4 linked regions of the Drosophila melanogaster genome follow. The protein of the gene in region 2 interacts with the protein of the main gene of each other region in a pairwise test. Each region holds a gene or a part of one and is shown on either strand. Other genes may lie near its edges.

What was found.
Region 1: the proteins of CG5111 (region 2) and gus interact in a two-hybrid assay, tested with the Drosophila melanogaster proteins (one large-scale study listed by BioGRID).
Region 3: the proteins of CG5111 (region 2) and TwdlE interact in a two-hybrid assay, tested with the Drosophila melanogaster proteins (one large-scale study listed by BioGRID).
Region 4: the proteins of CG5111 (region 2) and kat-60L1 interact in a two-hybrid assay, tested with the Drosophila melanogaster proteins (one large-scale study listed by BioGRID).

Annotation. Positions count from the first base shown.
Region 1 is NT_033778.4:5,125,204-5,130,306, forward strand, and holds the start of gus (gustavus), read right to left. Parts: upstream 3,119-5,103; 5' UTR 3,023-3,118; intron 2,321-3,022; exon of another isoform or gene 2,200-2,320; intron 2,140-2,199; exon of another isoform or gene 2,046-2,139; intron 1-2,045. UniProt on the Drosophila melanogaster protein: Involved in the localization of vas to the posterior pole of the oocyte. Required maternally in the germ line for efficient primordial germ cell formation.
Region 2 is NT_033777.3:25,504,347-25,508,869, reverse strand, and holds CG5111 (uncharacterized protein), read right to left. Parts: upstream 2,596-4,523; 5' UTR 2,507-2,595; coding exon 662-2,506; 3' UTR 591-661; downstream 1-590. Other genes in the region: CG5107 (uncharacterized protein), read right to left, coding at 2,952-3,530, 3,591-3,653.
Region 3 is NT_033779.5:7,857,455-7,862,572, forward strand, and holds TwdlE (TweedleE), read right to left. Parts: upstream 3,386-5,118; 5' UTR 3,247-3,385; coding exon 3,229-3,246; intron 3,148-3,228; coding exon 2,927-3,147; intron 2,667-2,926; exon of another isoform or gene 1,471-2,666; coding exon 1,116-1,470; 3' UTR 503-1,115; downstream 1-502.
Region 4 is NT_033777.3:5,781,282-5,788,136, reverse strand, and holds kat-60L1 (katanin p60-like 1), read right to left. Parts: upstream 5,033-6,855; 5' UTR 4,921-5,032; coding exon 4,607-4,920; intron 3,025-4,606; coding exon 2,756-3,024; intron 2,708-2,755; coding exon 2,070-2,707; intron 1,873-2,069; coding exon 1,398-1,872; intron 1,343-1,397; coding exon 1,017-1,342; 3' UTR 672-1,016; downstream 1-671. Other genes in the region: Hat1 (histone acetyltransferase 1), read left to right, coding at 20-668.

The sequences.
Region 1 (5,103 bases), on a different chromosome or scaffold from region 2:
ATTTGAAAACAGCCACAAAATTTATAATACACAAGAAAACTTTATCGATCTTTACGACTTAATATAGCATGCGAAACAAAAACGCCACGCGATTCTTTTCTGTCTCTTTTCGTGTTTTATATAAACTGTTTTTCCAATGCTTTCAAACTTAAGAATCGAATATAAGCAAATTTGAATATTTATTACTTATGGTAGTACATTATGAAGATATATTTTTTTACTAATGTGAAAACATACTAGCAATACTGTATATATATATATATATATATATATATAGTATTATATTAATCATATAATAATCAGAACAATCACAGATTATCAAGACAACCAGGAATCCGATATTTAGATGCGAGGCAAGAAGATATTTCAAAACTTAGTTAGCGTATCGATCGATTTCAAGTAAAAGGAAAATCGAAAAAAAAAAATTTCGACATAAAAGCTATTTAAAGCGTGCCAACCACTTTTATTCGTATCATTCCTAAAGCTTGTACAGCTAGTTGTCTTATTGAATTCCTTATTGTTTTGATTTCACAGACCGAGTTAAAGCAAAGACAATAGAATTACAAGATGCGTAACGGCCATTCATTGGTTTTGCACTATGCAGCCACTTTTTTGTTGACGGTCAAAATTGCTCTCTCTCCGCTTGAGTAAAATTGAGAGCGGTATAAAATCGAAAAAAATAATACACTTGCTTGTGTGTGCTAAAAGAATAAACGAGAAAGCAAAGACACTAGAATAACTAGCGTCTTTGGAGAATGTTTGTATGTGTGCGTACTTGTGCTAGAAGACGATTTTCGGGCAGAAATCAATTTTGATCTAAGATCCGATATAACATATTTAGAGTTTCGGGCAATTTCGTTGCAAAATGATCTACTCAAATAATATTTAAACATGTATGCCTTGACTATTAGATTTTTAAAGTGTTTCATATAAATGTTTCATATCTTAATTTGTGTTTATAATTAATAATATGTAAAACGGGACTGACGACATCTTTTGCGACATCAATTTTTAAAGTTGCAATGTGAAATATTTAAAAAAAAAATTACATTTCAAAAAATAAATTTCTAAATAATAATAAAAACATACATACATACATTAAACACATAAAGAAAACGTAGAGTTTCTTGACAGTCTCAAAATTCTTTTCTTTATATTTAATATTTATAATTTGTTTTTTGATTTATAAGTAAAACAAAAATATATTTCATAAAAAAATAGCGTTTGAACATTTTTACCTTTAAGGTCAAAAATTCAACTTATTTCACAGTGTGTAAACAGTTTCTTGACAAACTGTATATACAATATATAAAAATACGTTGACTGTTTATTGCAAAAATGATTTCTTGAGACACGAAGTGCGAACATAAGCACCCAACAATCATTGTCTCCTTTATTCTTACGCATACAGTGACAGCCGAAGAGGGCAGCTGGCTGTATATCTTTCCGCACTCTGGCTCTTAAACAAACATTCGAGAGAGCCTGGAGCCATCTCTAGAGCCAGCACCAAAAAATCGAGAGAAAAACAAAACAGAATGCTGTAGTCGAACGTAAAATTGCATACATTTTTTGGGATATCGATAGATAAAGATAAAATAAAAAGGATTTAAAAATGGTTTAAAAGTGTGGGCGTGACCGTTTTGTTGGTAAAAGGGGAGGCGTGGTTACGGTGTTTTTGGTATACCGATAAAAAATTGGCAAGACAAACAAAAATGAAAAAAAATCTAAACATTTTTTTAAAGTGTGGGCGTGACAGTTTGGGGAAGTTTTAGGGCGTTAGATTAGGCGTGGCAAAAAGTTTTTTGGCATATCGATACAAATTTACAAGACTAATTAAATTATTGAAAAATATCCAGAAATTTGTTCAAAAATGTGGGCGTGGCAGTTTTTGGCGGTTTAAGGGCGTTAGAAATTTTTTTTTTGTAAATCGATAGAAATTTACAAGACTAAAAAAAATGTGAAAAAATATCAACACATTTTTTAAAAGTGTGGGCTTGACAGTTTTGTGTGGTGTGTGGGCGTTAGAGTTTGCGTGGCAACATGGGTCACAAACTTGCGCTGCGTCTATGTTTTTAGAATCTGTATGCTGAATCTCAACATTTTGGCTGATCTTGATGCTGATATGGACAGACGGACATGGTCAGATTGTCTCGATCAAGAATATATGTATTTACATATGTTTGTATATACTTTATATAGTCGGAAACGCTTCCTTCCTCCTGCTACATAGTTTTCAACGGATCTAGGAACCCTGTTACTCTACGGGTATAACGAGTATAACAAATAGCGTATAGTCTGAATGACTAAAGGATGTAGTGAAGTAAGTTAAAGTAAACTTTACATTGTGTGAATTAACAATATGCTAGTGTAAAAGCGGCTTGCGCCGCCTTCATTGAGTTAAGCCTGCATATTACCTTTTAAAAGAAAAGTAGTGATGCAGTCTTGGTTTAAATGTAATTTTTATACTAACCAAAATTTCGTATTGATTCAACTTTACTGTTAAAGTTAATAGAAAATAAATGAAAAGTTGCTACAGCACCGACGAACTATTCATAAAAAAAAAATTCGAAAATCATATAACTGAAGCAAGCCCATGGCCAGATCGACTTGTCTAGTAATCCTGATCAATAATATAGTTATTTATATACATATGCTTAAATACTTTATGCATTAGGGAAACGCTTCCTTCCCTATAATATATTCTCCAACAAATCTTTAAGATTGTATGCAATTACGTATGTATGTATTTTTGGTGATATCAGATTCACTCCTAATTAATATTCTTATAGTGTTTTTGTACGCTCATACAAATTCAATCCAAGGAGATTGAATACATGAAGTTCAATATGTACAGATAAGTTTTCACATATAATTATTTTTATCACATATCTCAAATTTTTATCTGATTAACGTTTATAAATATGAACATACATATGTTCTTACATTCCATATTTATAATTAATTGATCAATTCCCACGTTAGATATGTGTGAATTTCATTTATCAGTTCCTGTGAAACTTACATTACTTTTATCTTGTCGATTTGCTATGATTAAAATAAAACAACACATAAAGCAAAATATCACTCAGGAACCTTTGATGCACAAAACATTCATTTGTTTGTATATCCACTTATACCGTACATCAACAGTGTTGTGACATGTAACGATTTTTGTCATGTGCGGAATGAGTGGGATTTTGGAAAAGACTAATAATTTCTTCGAAATTATATAATTTAATTTAACTTCAAAGACCGAAGTTTGGTAAAGACTTTCTAAGTCAAGCCGTTTCAAGATTTAGCACAACATAATGTAAATTAAACAAATTTTAAAATCTTTTTAAATGAAGTTATTCATTTTATCACCATATTACAATTTTTTAAATTAAAGGTATCTGATTGACCCCATGCGTAAAAGTAACTTGATAAGTTTACAATTGCAAATTTTTGGTTTACCCAAACCAAAAAACTGTAATAATTCATAAAAACAATTATCTGTCTCGCTTGTTTTTACGGTATGACAGGCACATTTTACCTACTGTCGCATTACGCCTAAACTGCCAAACAATTTTTCATTTTATTAATATTTATGCCAAAAGCTGGCATTAGCTGAATAACGGGTAAATAAAAAAATATAAATATAAAATAACTAAAACAGTTTATTTTACTCGGCGTTATTAATTGAAAACCGGGTTCTCCTTACCGAATACGGCTCGTTCAAAGAATAATAAAGAATAATTAGATGCTTAACTGCCATATATTGTTTTTGCAGGTTGCACTTTTTTTGATGACATCCGATTGTTTATTGCGACTCCGCGCGGCAATGTGCTTCCTTCTACATTCTTGGCTTTGACTTTACGCGACTGAACTGCCTCTCAGTTCGTTCAACGTATGATACGATAATATACTGTTATTCTACCGCTCGTTTTACATACGCTTACAAATGGTAATATTGTACCTAATTTCAACAACTGTCCTTAATGTTACCATTTTTCAATTAATTTCTCAAAAATTTACACAACATTTCTCATGTATAAGTTTTGACAAAATCTTTTTTACATGTCGGCTATTATTAAACATATCGTTCAAAATCGCTACACAAAACTCGTCTTTTCATTGCTCAAAAACAGCTAATAAACAATAATTTGCAACAAGCTCGCAAAGCTGTTTAAAGCTTTAACACTTCAATTAAGTAGCACTCCGGCATAGGACGTCGCTGCCCCCTCTTGGGCGAGCTATCTGGCTGGACTTCTATTCTATGTTTACTACGATAATAGATAGCCATCCTGAACTAACAAACATAGAAAAGTTGCAGCATCTAAGAACATGTCTGAGGGACACTGCACTTGAAATATCGGATGGCAACTATGCTATAGCATTGAATTTGTCTGTTTGTTTAATATTCCAGGCACACATTACTGAGATTCTAGGGCAAGGGCAGTTCAGAATGGTTCCGTTTCAATGCTTTGTAAACTGTGTGATAAATTCAACGCTCATATTCGCGCGCTAAATGGAATGGGCTCAACGACACAAATCGTTGGATGAATTATCGCCCAAGTACTTATCCAAAAGCTGGATCCGGAAAGTCTGGCGAAATGGGAGCAGCATTTGGAGAACCAGTCTTAAAGAATTCAATTCCAACATGGCATCGTTTCTGGAGCAGTGTTGCAGGACGCAGCCGTAACAAGCTATGCGTCAGTCAACCAGGTGCAAAGTAGCAGAACATCTGATTTGTGTAGGTCTGTCCTTCTTGCCTCAAGCCTCAGCCCTGCGACCTGTGAGTTCTGCAATGTTTCTGGTCACTAAATTCATTAATGTAGAGCTTGAAAAACCTGACCACCGCTAATAGATTCATAGAAGCGAAAATCTTCGCATTTTAATAAATTGCTTTAGGACCGGAAATAAAATGAGGTAGGCAACTCCGATAAAAAGTTTAAGAAAAATGTTTTGTTTTCTTTTTTATCTCAAAATTCTATTTAATTAAATACGGGTACAATGCTTTTTTCTAGGATATCTTTTCCATTAATAAAATAATAATCTTCTTTAATAACATACTTTTACTGCTATATGACATAGTGTTCAAATTTCAATCCAATGAATTTAATA
Region 2 (4,523 bases):
CAAGTGAAAATGTCAGCCACTCAAAATGTGTGCGCCATTTCGCATATATAATAAATCAACGTAAACCGAAAAAAAAAAAACACGAAATGAAGAAAGAAATGGAAGAGTGAAATAAGCTGAGCGGAGTTTATTTTAGGTTTAACGATTTGGAAATAACGCCACAAAACAGGACGACAAATTATTTGGCCATCATCTGCAGAACTTTCGCATGGCATTGGCAGATTGGCGAGAGGGTCTGAAAACTTATTAATTTTCACAAAGTCAGCCACACGCAAAGAGCACGCGCACACACACACATACACAAAATTGTGAAAAACTGTGACGTTATGCACATGAGTGAGCAAATAGCAGCAGCCACATCAGCAACCAAAATGCATAGCATACTTTGCTGGGCAATAAGTATTTGAGTTTTTGAAGGGACGCACTATAAGCTGGATTTTTTTTATTTTTTTTTTATTTAATTGACTAGCTGTTATGTTATTAATTTTGGCCACAAAAAGGTACCATTCAGACTATAGTGGAATGGCTGTGAAATGAAATGGTAACATGGTGAGAAAAGATGTTAAAAATATAACAAAGCAACAATAAATATTTGTACGTACTTATTTATTGCCTGTTTTTTGATTTACAAATATTTAAAAAAAATCTTATTTTTTTCTTATTAGCCCTCGAGCAAACGTTTATACTCGATCAGAATTTGCTCCTCCTGATCCAAGGGCAAGTTTAAGTAGTGGTTGTTGTTCTCGGCGAGGTTCTCGTTGAATCTCTTGAAGGCATTGTAAGACTCAATCTCCGACTTGGCCTCGCTAAGGACAGTCTGGAGCAAGTTCACCTTGCTGTTGGATAAGTTTACGAGTGGGGTGGTGCTATTTGCAGTCGCATTAGTTGAGCTCGTAGGTTCTTGAACCTCCAAAACTTTTGTCATGGTTTCAATAACATGAAGTAATTCCGATTCGTTGGGGAAACTTTTCAATAGAAATTTCAGAGATTTATGGAAACTGTTGCCCGTAGTTTCCAAAGCATCTCGAGCGGAAATCTCCGAAAATCCAAGGTGCTGTAGAGTAGTAAGTAACGATTCATCGACAGGAGGAATGGGCGGCAGATTGGCCCTAAGTTCATCTGAATGACGCTGCAGTAGATCCAAACTGCGATCGAGATTATTTTTGGTCCTCTTCAGAGCCTCCACAACCAAACGCCTTTCGTAGCCCATTTCCATGAGCCTAATAATGCTGCGTGGATTGACCCATTCTCCTCCTTGACCGGCGAAAATCATCTCTTGGTTGACTTGCCTCTCGGCAGCCGAGTTCTTTCGCTCCTCACTGATTCTCTCGCTGCGTTCCTGGATATATTGAATGGCCCTATCCACTTGGCCCGCACAGGATCTCAAGGCCAACCTGGCATCCGATTCCTCATAGCCCATTTCAACGAGAGTGCTTAGCTCAGTGTCATTCATCTTGACCTCATACAAGTCCTTTGTCGCCACCTCCAGTTTTTCGTAGGCCTCATCCCGGCGATTTTGGTGAAAGAGGAGCACACCTTGGAGCAGGTGCAGTCTCATGATCAAAGCTCTTTCCGGGCTACTTGGACCCTTAATCGAGAACAATCGAATGAACTGCTCGCCATAGCTCTTGACAAAGCCCCTCTCGCAAATATCCAAACGTCGCTGTGCATCTGGCAGTTGGGTGATGTTCTTCAGGCGCAGATAGCACCAAACAATATCTAGATTGATTAAGGCATAGTTATCCACTCCTTCCAGGAGCTTTGAGTCACATTGGGAGAAGAGTTCATCGGCCTCGAGTAGGATGAGTAGAGCCTCATCGAAGTTCTCCTTATGCATGGCAACTCTGGCCACTTCGTACATGCTCATGGCCATCAATAGGGATCGATTTTCCTCGCGTGGCAAGAAAATTGGACGTCCATCCTGATCCTCCATTTCCATAAAGCGATCTGCATCCGCAACTAACTCCAAGTCCGCACGAATCCTTTGGATACGTTCGTGCAACTCCTGACCTTCATTAGTTCCACCCACAACCACCATGAGGTGCTGATTGGTTTTGAGCCCCTGCGAGGCCAGTGTCTTCTGCCCATTGATGATGCGTCCTCCGGAGATGCATTTCACATGACTGGAATCAACGATATCCAACTTCTTGGCCACCTCAGCTTGCAGATCCGAGCCCAGTCCACCCAGCGAACACTTGATCTCCAGCATTTGCACGGTGCCACCCTTGCTGTCCACACACCGCACATTGAACGTGGCCAATCCGGTGTCATTGAACTCTCGGCGAGCCGCCAGCTTCCGCAAGGCACCATCTTGCAATTCGCCCAAGGCAATTCTGCAGTCCGACACACTGATGCCCAGTTCGCCACTGATGTCCCTGGCCAGGCGGTCCATCTCCGACTCGATGCTGCCCACCTCCTCGAAGTAGTACGGCTCCTCCCACAACTTGATATCACGCTCCCGCAGACGAGCTCGCAGCTTAATGAATATATTGTTTATCTGGGACATGTTTCGTGCTGTCGTGCCCGAATCGAACTAAATAATTTCTAAATTTATGACGAACATTTTCAACTCTGACAGTGCTCTTTCAGTGTTACCTTAACATCTGTTTTTGCTAAATGCTAAAAAATGCTAAATTATTATAAATTCAGAGACGTAAGTTAAATCCCTTTAATTGCAATTTATAATTAATTACAATTAATTTTCCATATCAGTATAAAGCTGTTCAAGAACCCTCTCTAGATACCGATTGTATTTATTAACGAATCTTAATCGAATCGCTTCAGTTCGGCTCATAGTTGGAAATTGAAGTTATCTTATCATAATGAAACAAAATTTATTTTCAATCAAATCACTATATTATTGTTCATAGGTTGTTGGGAACAAAGGCTCGAGAATTGAAATCTAATCTGCTGTAAGCTTAAGAGTTTTTTATTTTTTAATAATAATATATTTACATAGACTCGATGCAGACATCAATGTTGGGCAGAAAAGAGTTAAAGGACGCTGTAACTTTATTGGTGGCATTTACGAAGCAGGAACTGGTATCGGCTGGCAATTTGGCAATCAGTTTTAGGGTTTTATTGATCTTTCGGGTCAGCCTCATGGATGCCTTGAACAATTTCCAGAAGCATTTGGCCGAGTTTTTGATGGACGAGCCCACGGACTTATCCGTGGCACAAAGTTTCGAATGCAGATGCAAAATATCGTCGCAGATTTTGATAATCTCCTTAACGGAGTCCACAATCTTGGCCACATCCTTGGGAATGGCAGTGCCACAGGCATCAATAGCATCCACATAGCTGGTGCATGAACTAAGGATGTTTGTCACCTCCTTGATAATACAGTTGGTGCCTCGAACCGTTTTCAATGCCTTGCGAAGGATTTTAAGGCATGTTCTAATAAAGCCCTGTGCCTCCACATCCATGTAGTCAGTGTCATTGTCCAGTTCATCCAGCAACTGCTCCAATTCCGATTCAAAGTCGAAATCATAGTCGAAGTTCTCGTTCTCCAGCAATTCTATTGCATTGGCCTGAAACAAAGAAATATTTATTATATTTAAGTTAATTTTTTTTTAATTGGCAAATCTTACCCGCGTGGTCAGCAGACAGGTGGCCGAAACCAGAACCAAAAGGCAAACGGTGATGGCTTTCATTTTACTGTCCAATTAATAATATTTTCTCGGCCAGTAGTGAAGATCAGTTTATATACCCGCTGAAAACTACGTCTTATCAGAAATTAATCGAATTGCCCACTCCAACTATCTAATACCTTTTTTTTATACGGCTATCATCTAGAAATGTGTAATCAATCTACCTACCTCAAAAGTACTTATATGTATCTATCTATCAGCACTTATCAGCCACTTAAGATACTTAAAATATACATTTTCGATCGGTTAATTTTCATATTGCTCAATTGAAGTGTTTTAAATGAATACAAATCTGAAATGATTAATTAATTTTCCCATTTAAATGCAAACGAAATGTACGCTCTAAAAATGTCGAATATTTTTCTTGTGGCAATTATCACACAATATCCGTTGATGTCAGTGCGAAATTCACTTGGGCACCCTTAAGAATCGAGGCTCAGAACGAATTAAAAGCCATAAACCGCAGACAAAGAGGAAAAGAACCACAATTGAATGGTGGCTGCCACCAGATTTTCCGGGCACAATAGACGGCAAAAGGAAAAAAATTTGTTGCCATTGTCAGCTTAACGCGCTCGGTTCACTTTGTTCGGGTTATAAATGGTAACGTGTGGTTAAGGGTTAATAACTCCCACTAGGGGTGTGTGGAAAATAAGACACTGCCACCAGGTCCAAGACATTTCCAACATACAAAAGAAAGTTTCCGGCTACCCGCGACAACAGCAAGTGTGGCTGCTAATGAAAAGTGTCGTAAAAGTCTGTAGTAATATCGTTTGTAAGGGTGTTCGGGTGGTCTGTCATTAGGTTAGCTGGGGTCTTTCCAATTTTCCCGGGATGGGATGGCAATATCTCTCCGGGTAATAAAGTAGCTGACTG
Region 3 (5,118 bases), on a different chromosome or scaffold from region 2:
TATAACGACGTCGCTGAAGAATATGTCTGCGAAAATAAATATTTTACATAGGTTCAAGCGAATCGGATCGAGATATTTGCACATCGAAGACATAGTCCAACAAAATTGGACCAGTGCTTTGAGCGCATGTCAAAAGATGGGAGGTAATCTAGCCTCAATTATAAATGAAGCAGACTTTAATGCTATCGTTTCGCAACTAAGCAAAGACAACACTTATATGATTGGCATTAGTGATCTGGCTGAAAAGGGCGTTTTCATATCTGTGTCCTCCGGAAAGAGAGCACCTTTTTTGAAATGGAATCCTGGAGAGCCACTATACGAACATGTAGATCAGCGTTGCGTTTCTATACATAACGGTGGCATGTGGGTTGCTTCTTGTACTTCTGATTTCAAATACATTTGCGAGGCAAATGAAAATGTATAGTAAACAGATATATATAAATATATGTACACATATGTTAAGACTTGCAATGTGAAACATACAAAAAGAAATCCATCTTGTACAGATAATTCGTTAAACTTTTATTTAGCCATTGATGTTTTGTGTTTTTAACATTATATACTTGAGTATCATTTTAATCTTCATTTTTTTTTGTTGCATTTCGAGTGCTTCGCACATTCTATTTAATGACAAATCGTGTGCGAAATGTGCAATATGAAATTGGAATAAATTGCCTACTTGAAAATGCGTTTGTGATGAAAATCATGTACCACGTATATATCGTTAATCGGTATCAGGATCGATATCTCTATCGATAACTAAGGCTAGCTCGCAGTGAGTGTTTCGAGTGTTTTGTGTGAGTGTATAACGCATCGTTCGCTTAAAGACCTAGACTTAAGACTAAACAAACAATTTGAAACAAACAGCCTAGATGGAAAACATACTTCTCGTACATCAGGTAGAAACAACATCAGAGATAAGAATTACTCATCTATAGGAGTAATAATCCTATGAGCTGGGTGTGGAGAGGGGATGGGGGAGATTCGTTGCTTGGTAAACTTTGTCACGCGTTAAGGTCCTTGAAACAGAAAATAATACAATACACATAAGATATGCAGTTTGCCATGAGTTGGGTTGAGATAAGCAAATCGGTATTCGGGTTGGACTGGATCGCCTAGTGGGATGGTGCCCCATACGAGCTGCTGGGAGCAGAGGGTGCGGGCGGGGCAGCTGGAGCTCCGTACTCGGGCGCTGGAGGCGCCACACTGTTGGGATAGGGTCCGGTCTCCTCCTTCTGGGTCTTGTAGCGGATGAAGTACACCTCCGGCTTGCTGGGTTGGGTGGGAGCTGGCGTTGGGATAATGATCTCCGGCTGCTCCTCCGGCTTCTTGACTAGCACGTACACCAGGGTCTTCTCTTCGTTCTGTGGGAACTGCGGTATTACAGGGGCGGTCGGTACTGGTGGAGATGGCGCCTTGATGAAGACGATCTTGTAGTGCTTCTGCGGAGGTGGCACGTAAAGGGGTTTCCTGGGAAAATATTTAAAAATGTATTTAAATAAAGGTTCTGCTATATCTGTATTTAAGGAATTTCTTAGGAATTCTATGGGTAAAGTAAGACACCACATCCTCATATAACGCAACTTTTTTTGCTTCCGGCTTGTAAAAATTTACATACTGAATAAAAAAATTTCAATTACACACGGCCAGGCTGGAATGACTTTCCACACTTCCTATAACCTTGCCTTGTTGAACGAACAAATACCGCGATGCGGGAGAAAGGAGTTTCTCTTTGAGGTGCATGCAAATGGCATGCCCATAAATGGTGACCTCCCGAAAATGGTGACCTCCCGACAACGTTGAACCCACTGCAGCTGCTTGTCAGTTTTACTAATCAGATGAAGATGATGACTATTGTGACGATGACAGCGATTGTCACAACAACCGCCTCGAGACGAGGGTTTACATAAAGCTACCTATGGTAATCGAGTTCCTGTCCCTCTGCGCCTGATAATTTGCTTGGAAATGGTACTGAGATATATACGAGTACAAGTGCTGCGGCGAGCTTAGGTAACGTTTTAGTCACGGTTTGGCGGTCTGCAAAGCCATATCATTCCCCTCTCGTGGTAATTAACATCGCTTCCAACTCCAATTGAAAACAGACAGAAGACGACAGAAAACATTGTATCAGCGAAAAGAGAGGAAAGTTGGATGGCTTTCGTTTTCGCGGGTATTAAATAATGTTCCTCCTCCGTTTAAGCGACCCTCTAAATACCCTGGAAATGTGGCAACAGCTGTGGAAAAGGGCCCTGAGCTGGATTAGATGATTGCCGGCTGGTCTCTTGCAACATTTGTCTAGTTATTATCTTTGGGAGTTGACGGCACTGCCTGGTTTACGCCGATGAATTGTGAGAGAATCTGCATAAGTGCCTTGGATTATATACTCATAACACAACAATGTGTTTTTTCCCCATATTTTTCCAATCTTAAGTGGAACAAGACAAATAAAGCGAGATCGTTTGTAACCGCTCACAATCACGCAAGTCGAAAAAAAAGTGTGCTGGATAAGGGGTGTGAATAATTTGAACTGATTACGTTGTGAAATGAAAAAAACCGCAGGATGTACGTTTATATTGTACGGCTTATCAGAAGAAATTCTCGATTGTTCACTCACTCACTGTGTTGGGAGTGTAGTGCGATTTCTATTTTGTGAAACTATGCAAAATAAATAATTTTACTATTACTTAAACTCTTAAATACGTATCTTTTGTGATTAAACTGAATGTGTCTAAAATAACATTTTTAAAGATTTTTTCCATTTTTAGGTCTGATATAATTATCATCTAGTATAGACAAAAATTTTAAACGAGTATGCATAGATCCTTTTCCGGAACTTGGTTGAAGAATAGGTTTATTGGGAACCCTATTCTACTCGCGATCTTTGGAACTTATGTTGGCTTAGAGGATCCTTGATCCTGCCACTCACCTGGGTGCCTGGTATTCCGGCTCTGGTGGAGGTACATGGACGTAGACGTGCTTGTGAATCACCGGCGCCTGCTGGGGAGGTCCGTACTGGGGCGCAGGGGCGCCGTAGCCTCCGCTGGGTCCACTTGGCTGGTAGCTGCTGGAGGGGGGCGCACTGTACGAGTCACGAGGCGGCTCTGGACGAGCGGCCACCAGGGCAGCCAGGGCCATGAGGACCACTAACTGCGAACGAGATCGGAGGAGAACACACCATTAAGCGATGTCCATCACGGCCACTTGGTCGGTTTGGTCACAAGATCATACCACACAACTGGAATGCATTTTCGGGTGGCTTATTTCGGGTATATCCGTTTCGGGTTTTGTCACTGCTCCAGGTGGCTAGGTGCTACTGGCTGTTACTGGTTACTGGTTACTGGCAATGTGGTGCTGCTTCGACGCGGAACCTCTTACTGCATGCCACAACGATTGTTGCAGTTTCTTTTATAGCAGCGCAGCGCGTGAAATAAAAATTAAGTAAAATTCAAGACGACGATCAAGACCGCTGCTGCTTTAGCCGCCTCAGCTGCCTCAGCTGCTGCCGCAGTCGACCGAGCAGTCGGCCAAGTTGGCTGAGCAGTTGGCAAAGAGCGGCAGCAGCATGTAGCCATGAAGAAATTGAAATGTTTAAGCCAAGTCCAAAGTTTGGCCAGTCATGATCTGGTGGGGAAACTGAGGCTGCAGCTCCTGGCTGCGATGCAAACGGCGACCGCAAAGCCAACCGAAACTGCAACGTCTGCTGACCGTTTCTTGGCTTTGGCTTTCCTCCTTCGATTAACTACTTCTTTTTCGTGGTTTTTCGAGCATGTGGTTGGTTGTTTTTTTTTTTCTGTTTTTCTGCCCAACTAGGATTATTTTCATGGGGAAAATAAGGAACCTGAAAGGTGCAGTGTATGTATGTAAAATAAAGCTTGAGGCAGCAAGGCCATCAAATAGTTTTTTATGGTTTTTATTTCTGAAGACACTTAGCTGCTGGAATGTAGCTTATTTCAAGGGTCCATTATTTTCAAGGCAAGAAAATAAAAGCCTTTTTTGCGGTAACCTCAGCTTTAACGATTTCCTGCTTAATTTAAGAATATCTGAGAATATCTGTTCTCTTATTATTAATTTATCACGCCTTTTGTTCTTTTATCATTAAAAGAAAATGCCTCTCTTAGCTTAGATAGTTTAATTATTAAAGGCAAGTCATATTTTGTAATATTTAATTTATAAATATGTCTTGTGCATTTTTTTCCCTCGCCCATTTAAAACATTTGTATAGATTCGCTGTAGAGTACAACTCCTTCGAACTGATTGCCAAAGAAACATGGTTTTTCCTAAAATCTCTGATTTCTGTTATTTATATATAAATATATATATATATGTGCTTTATTATATATATGTAGCTAATGTGTGTAAATTGTTATTTTGGTCATTTAGAGGATCCAATCGCAGTGGACTCGTAACCAAGTCTGGACTCTGGATCGGATCGTGTGGCACGATTCACTTTCAATTTCAATGAATGTGGATTCACTCTCATTTAGCCAGCCGTTTTGGGGAATGGGTTGGTATAGTATGGTATGGTATGGTTTGGGATCAGATGGGATGGGGCTAAGCTTTGTTTTGTGCTCTGGAGTGGGACTGAATCTGGTGTTGGTTTTATTTCATTTCTTCATGCTCTTTCGGCCTTTTGTTAGCCAGCTTCTTTCGGTGTTTTGGGTTGTGTTGTGTGTTGGCTTGAGTTGACTTGGCCTGGCTTGTTGTTATTATTATTGTTACTGTTATTGTTATTGTTTTACTGGCTATGTTGCTTTTGTAATTGCTGTCCGCGTTTTGGACACGAAGCTTCATAATGAGCTTCACGCTCTTGTTGGGTCGACCCATCTGTACAGGCATTTTATTTAATTTTTCTCCTCTGGTTTTTTTGTTTTTGCAATATTTTGAATTTCTTCAATTTGTTTTTTTTTTTATCTCTGGCAAGTTTTAGTGTTGTTTTTGGGTTGCTTTTCTTATTTAATAATTTACGCCCCGGCCATGACAATTAGCGTTAGAGAAGAGTGATGGATAAAATTATGATTGGCAAAATGTTTTGCAACTTTTCCATGGCTCATAGCCCCCAAAGTAATAGCTAGCTTTTTTCCTGATTTATGCACATAATCTATAAATGGCAATCAGCAT
Region 4 (6,855 bases), about 20 Mb from region 2:
TCATTCTGCATTCCTTTAGCTACGAAAAGTACAAGAACAACGATGGCCAGTGGCAGTATGCCACAGCTGGTTACACCACCGTATACGAGTACTACGCCTATCCGCAAAACAAGAGGCCCAGGATAAGCCAGATGCTGATACTGCCGCCTTTCCAGAAACTCGGCTTGGCTACCCAATTGGTCGAGAGCATTTACAGGTTTTATCAGTCACAGAAGAATGTTGTGGACATAACAGTGGAGGATCCATCTGAGGATTTCCAGCGTTTGAGGAATTTTGTGGACGCGCGATCTTGCATGAAATTGAAGTCGTTTGCACCAGGCGAGATAGTCAAGGGCTTCAACAAGGAGATGGTGCGGGAAGCTCGCGAGGCTCTGAAACTCAATCCCCTCCAGGTGCGTAAGGTGTACGAGCTTTTGCGTTTATTCTACACCAATGTGAAGGATGAAAAGGAGTACCGACCCTATCGTCTGGAAGTTAAGAAACGGCTTAACGCGGTCTATTACAAGCAGTTAAAGGATTTGAAGAAAATGGAGCGCTTCAAGATGGACACTGAAATGCTGCGTGCTCGCCTGCCAACGGTTCAACAACGAATGGAGCAGCTGCATGAGGAATACCGCGTGGTCGAGCAGGAGTACCAGAGCACCATTGCCAAGTTGAGGGCCTCGTAGGTTCTGTGGATCCAAAAGGTGTTGATTAATTTATTTCGTTTCTCTGTTTTCAAATATGTTGATTACAAAATACATTATGTTGCTATAAGCCTACAGTAGGATTCCTTTGAATAAATATTACAAATTAAATATATATATATATATTATGTATTTATAAGATATCAGATTACCGTGTGCACGTACATAGAGGAGCAATGCTGGGCGTGGGGCACTTGAGCAATTAAGCGTATATAAAACAAAACATTACGGCTAACGAGTACGATTTATACAGGTTACAAATAATTGTGATCGGGAAGTACACATGGGATACGATCATTATCGAGGGTGCTGGGCCAGCAGCCCGTACAACTAGCACGACCCGTATTCCTCCATCCACTTTTCGAAGCGGGCAACGTCATCGGCAGAGACGGACTTCTTGGTGCGCAGACGGGCGTCCTGGAAGTCCTGCAAAGTAATCGGCTGGTCAACCTCCTCGCGTCGGATTTGCTTAATCTGATCGGGAGTGCGTCCGGAAATGAGGCGCCGCATGGCCATCATGGAGGCGTCCCGGCACACGTTGCTTATGTCCGATCCCGAGTAGCCCTGCAGTTCGTCGCCGATTATTCCGGTGTTCAGACTGGGCGACAGGCATACGTCCTTCAGGCAGAGCTTGAGGAGAGCCGATCGGGTGCCCTCTGGAGCATAATATTACTATTATTTACTGCAGGAAAGGAAGTGGCTCGCACTTACCGTTTGGGAGAGGAATATAGATTCGCTTTTCAAAACGTCTCCGGAAAGCCTCATCGATGTCCCACGGGTGATTGGTGGCCGCCAGCACCATGATCACCTTCTCCTCCTGCATGCTTGCGTTGAGTCCGTCCATTTGGATGAGCAGCTCGGCCTTGAACCGCCGACTGGCCTCGTGCTCCGAGTCACTGCCCCTGGAGGCGCATAGGGCGTCTATCTCGTCGATGAAAATGGTGCTGGGCGCATAAAATCGGGCCATCTCGAACAGGAGACGCACCAGCTTCTCGCTCTCTCCTCGGTATTTCGAGGTCAGGGTCGAGGAGGACACGTTGAAGAAGGTGGTTCCACATTCTGTGGCCACCGCCTTGGCCAGCATGGTTTTGCCTGTTCCCGGCGGACCGACCATCAACACTCCACGCCACGGCCGGCGGATTCCCTTGAAGAACTCCGGCATGATTACCGGAAGCACCACTGCTTCCTATTTGGGTAAAAAAAAGATGTACATACATATGAAGTTAGCTACTTTTAATTTAGGTCTTCTGCACGCCTCTGAGGTGCACTTTTATATTTGTGGACCTCAATTTTAAACCTATTCTAGTCATAGATGTCACAGATATATATATTTTACTAGTATGGGTGCATATCGGAAGTTCCGATTCAGAACATAAAGCTCACCTGGAGTATTGTCTTGGCCTCATTGAGCCCAGCCACATCGGTCCACTTGATGCACGGATGGCGCTGCAGAATGTCCTTCTCCAGGGTGTCCACCAGATGAACCTCGTAGCCCAAGGGCGAGAAGTGCTTGGCCTTGGTCTTCGGTGAGCATTTGGGCGTGTTGTGGCTGGTGGCTAGGGACTGGGCGTGCGAGTTGTCTTCCAGGGATGTGGTGGCGTCTTGGTCATCCGAGTTGGAGTTTTCGTCCAGCGAGTTCTTCTTAACCGGCTTGTGCTTCAAGTTAAGCTGGGTGTTTGTGCTGAGCTTCCTGGCCCGCAGGCGCTCCACGGATCGGCTCTTCCGCAAGGCGGCGGTCATGGCGGATGCCCTTGCTGGTCGCCCCAGGCGCATTGTGCCCATGCTGGCGGCGGGTGTAGGTGCTCCTGCGCCCGCCAATCCCACGTTCCCAGCACTTCCGTGGTGGCTCTGGCTGAGGCTGCTGCTGTTCGCATTGCTGTTGATGGAGGGTAAAGTGGGCTGCAGCTCGGGATCCCGCCGACGCAGGGAGGACACCCACCGATTATCCTGCTGCTGCGACGGAAATGGCATTTGGGCCGTCTGACTGGCTCGCGGTTGTGGTGCCACTTCTGCGGCGGAAACTGCATTTTAATGATTATATAGGAAACCCCGCCACCCGGAGCACCAACCTTGCGTGGGTAGCCGCTGCTTGCTGCGCAACGGAACACTTCCGCCAATGCCCAATCCCCCAGGTGCATTAGAGCCCAGGTTGTTGACGGGCCGGTGGCGCTCTGCTGTCGAGGAGTGGCCGCCTTCCGAGCTCTTCTTCAAGCTGGCGTTCCGGGAAGGTCGACTGGTGGCCGTGATCTTCGTGAAGCCAAATGGGGATAGCGAGTCGAGGATCAGGGAGTCCATCATCCGGGCCATGTGCGACAGGCTTGTCGGAGGTGTGGAAGAGCTGGAGAAGGAAAGGGTATTCATTGATTGCTCTTACCCAGTAGAAGATCTAAATATTATAACAGGAAAGAGGAATCGATAATAGGCCTTGTCCTATAATAACATAATATGATCAATGCCATTAGTGCCAAACCCAAATATTTTCGTATTTAATTAGGTATTTTGAGATGTATCTTTAAGATGTTATTGTCAATTCTATCTTTATCTTTTGGGAGAAAGTTTTGGGAAACTATACTATACGAATCTAATGAAGCCACTTAAGGATTCCCAAACTATCTCATTACAACTCCTTATCTGTAAAAAACATAACATATAACTGATAAGGATATAATTAAGAGCCACCAAACAACGCAAAACCAAAACCCATGGGCTCATTTTTAAAACTCATAGCTAACTACCCATAACTATTAGGTGGCTCCATGGAGCTGCCATTCAACTTGGCCATGTCGCAAAGGTCATTTGCTTTATCAGCCGCGGACAAGTGGCTCGCGTGTCCTGGTGTGTGCACACACATATACCGGTTGGAATCCTCGTGTCTAGCCGCCTAATATTAGTTAGCCCTTGCGGAGGACCCTCCCATCCTGCCCTGTCCTACCCTACCCTGCCACTCCGCAGACAATGCTCGGGAATTTCCGGGAAACGAAGAGTTAGTGGCGCCTCCCATGGGGGCGCCTATTCAAACCGCAGGTGGGGTCAATAAACTCGTTGGCTCCTGGCCAGGTTATTGACGTGTCGGCGACAATTGTTAACTTTTGTATTCGCATTTGAATTGTATTTTCGACGTGTTTTCGACTTTGCATGCGTCATCTGGAGGCATTAAAGGCTTTGAGAGCATTCCGGCGGCAACAATGTAAATCTCGATCTGCAAAGTGGGCCGCAATATATTTTACGCCTGGCTAATTAAGTTGGCAGCAGCACAGCCATAATTCCCGACCATATTGCCTGACTCCTGGCACATTCGCTTGGTATTTATATTGCGGGCTGTACTCGTTCGAATTTGGGTTAATGTTTCCTTCATGTGCTCGCCCACGATTTCTTTGATTCTCGGCTCCTGATTCCTGATGGGAATGATTAGTGGAGCGGTTAACTAGGCCACTGCCTATTTGTTCCCATTACTATGCACAAATCAATGGGCCATAATCTAGGAATTACTTGCATTTGAACTGAGCAATTGATTGATTGGCAAAGTGTTACAAGGCCGGATTGAGCGTGGAAAAACCCCGGCATGGGAAAGTCCAGTGATGGCGGATTTCCTTGGACTCGTAGTTATGATGGGCCACTTGAAATCGTGTCACCAAGGGGTGCTTATGCTAATCCCATTGGCACAACACAAGACATTTCGTACTATGCAAATTACAGCAAAATGCCAATTATGACTGGCAGAAATATACTCGCGAAAGGAAACTGGATGGGGTCAAGAAGGTACCCGGTGGCTTTCTTGTATGCAACAAAGGAAATACTTTGGGTTGATAGTTGACCAACCAACGAGCTAGTTACCAACTGCCAGGTCAAGGAATTCAAATGCGGAAGTAATCCAATTTATAGTGGATTTCTTGTGCCCACAGATCTCTACTAGCTCTTACCATTGGTGCAGATCCCAGAGCGAGTGGTATGGAGTGTGCCGGTAGGTGGGAACGAAGGGTACCGCCACCTCGTACTCAACCTGGACGTTGGGCGGCGACTGGGGCCGCGTGGCCAAGGCGTTTGAACGCCCCAGGACGGGATTGGAGCTGGTCAGCGATCGCTGGCGCATGAAGGAATGTTGCGCCGCCGCCGCCTGCTGCTGCTGCTGATTGTAGAGACTCGAATTGTTGTTGAGCAACTGGGCCACTCCGCCGCTCGGATCCACGGCTGTCTGGCCCATGCCGAACCAATTCTGTGCACTGGTGTTGAACATGGCGCTGTGCCGGCGTCACACAGATTAGGACGAGACACAGACACTTCACTATTAATTTAAAAACACACGCGGATATGTTCGGGCGGAAACTTTGCTACCTGACAGTCTGCGCCTGGAGCCTTCGATTGGCTCGCACTCGGAGTTCGAAAACGCGACCCGACCAGCCGACTCGAGGGTTGCAGTCCAACTGAAACTGACCGCTTGACTGGACGACGCGTCCACAACAAACCGACCACCACTACCATTCCGGTATGGAACGGACCGGACCGGGTAGTTTTCCCAGTTGCCTGGTGTGCGTCCGTGTGAATGCGGATTGAGGTTAAAGGAAGTTTCGCTTGGGCGCTACTTTGGGGGGCGGTTTCAATCATGGTAAATTACGGGGAAAGAGTATCTCGACTTGGGGGAAAATAAAGAAATCGCCGATCGGAGCTAGGAAATGCCATCTTTCTAAATATTGATTGAAATTCAAATATATGGATTTCAGTTTAATGGGTTTATGTTTGTTCTGCTTATATGCTCCTTGTATATAGCTATTGATAGGTAAAAAAAAGAATATATACAATATATAAATAAATGAAATATATAATATTTCTACTAATGTCTAGTTGCTTATCGAAGTTTCCTCATTGTCTAAAGGACATTCGTGCTTCTATGTAAGCCCACAGCACTCTCAACTCCTCGGGTTACCCAACGCGCTGGACTGTGGTCAATGCACGCTAGCTTCTGGCTCAAGATTTCATCGATTTCTGGGGAAAGCAAGGCGTTCACTCACTCGCGTATGCCCGACTATTTACTCAAACGGCAGTGGTTTCCCAATAATCTGCCGGCAATGTAATTTAATGGCAGGCTTGCATGCGGCCAAAGAAAGCCGGTTCTTGAGTTGGCCTCCCCCGAGGACCCAGAAACTATAGCATACGTTTGAGAGCACCGCCATTAGGAGGCTTGAAGTGGTTCGTCCACATTTCAATGTGCATGTAGGCAGAACCCGATAATCCGGAGGTGAGCCACAAGCGAAGGCCGTTTCGGATGCGCGCACACACATATAGTATCTGTATATGTATCTAAAAATCAGCTGCAGCGCGAGATAAAAATCGATTGCGGGGCGACAGTCATGGAACGCTCAAGTGTCTCGGCACGCCTTGCGCCTCCAACTGGCACCCACCCTTTTGGACCTTTGCCGTTGCGAAGCACTCACCCCGCAGGACTCATCACGGGCAGGTATGTGGAAGTGGAGTCCACGGTGCGTATGGTGGTGTTCCCTCGCAGCACAATCTTCTCGCGCGTGGTGCGCCTATAGGTCGCCTCCTCGACCCGCATTTTGCTCCACCAGTCGTTTATTATTTAAATTTAGTGCGAGTAATTTCGTAATTTTGAATTTTTCACAATTTTTTTTCCTTAGTTTTCGTGTTTACTTCGGTCCGAAATGGTGTGTTGGAAAATTCGGCATCCGTTCTTCGCACAGGCAATGTACAAATGGAAAATTAAGAGAGCGGGCGGAGCAGGGAGAAAAGGATGCTGCGGAAAAGCTTTGGCTCTCCGCCACAGCTTTTTCTCTCTCTGTCTCAGCTTCCTGGCTCTCCGTCGCCAATTGTAAACAATTGCGCAATGCTCGCCTGCTGTTGCTCCTCCACTCGCCTCGATGCACAAATGGTCACTAAAACTGGATTGTTGTGGCCAATTCGGCCTGCCAGCCGCATTGCAACGGCCTGTGGGGTTGTGTTGGATTGTATTGCTTTGGGCGAAGGTCCTTATTTGGTGGTGTTTTTCAAGAAATAAAGCTTGAGAACTTGTATTTGCCTCTTTAAAGTTATGATAAATATTGTAGATGAGCATATAAACATTAAGTGACTTAATAGGTATACTTATCAAAATTTGTTTTAAATCAACCGCAATAAAATGCTATGTTTAACCCACTCAGAAGAACAAATATATATG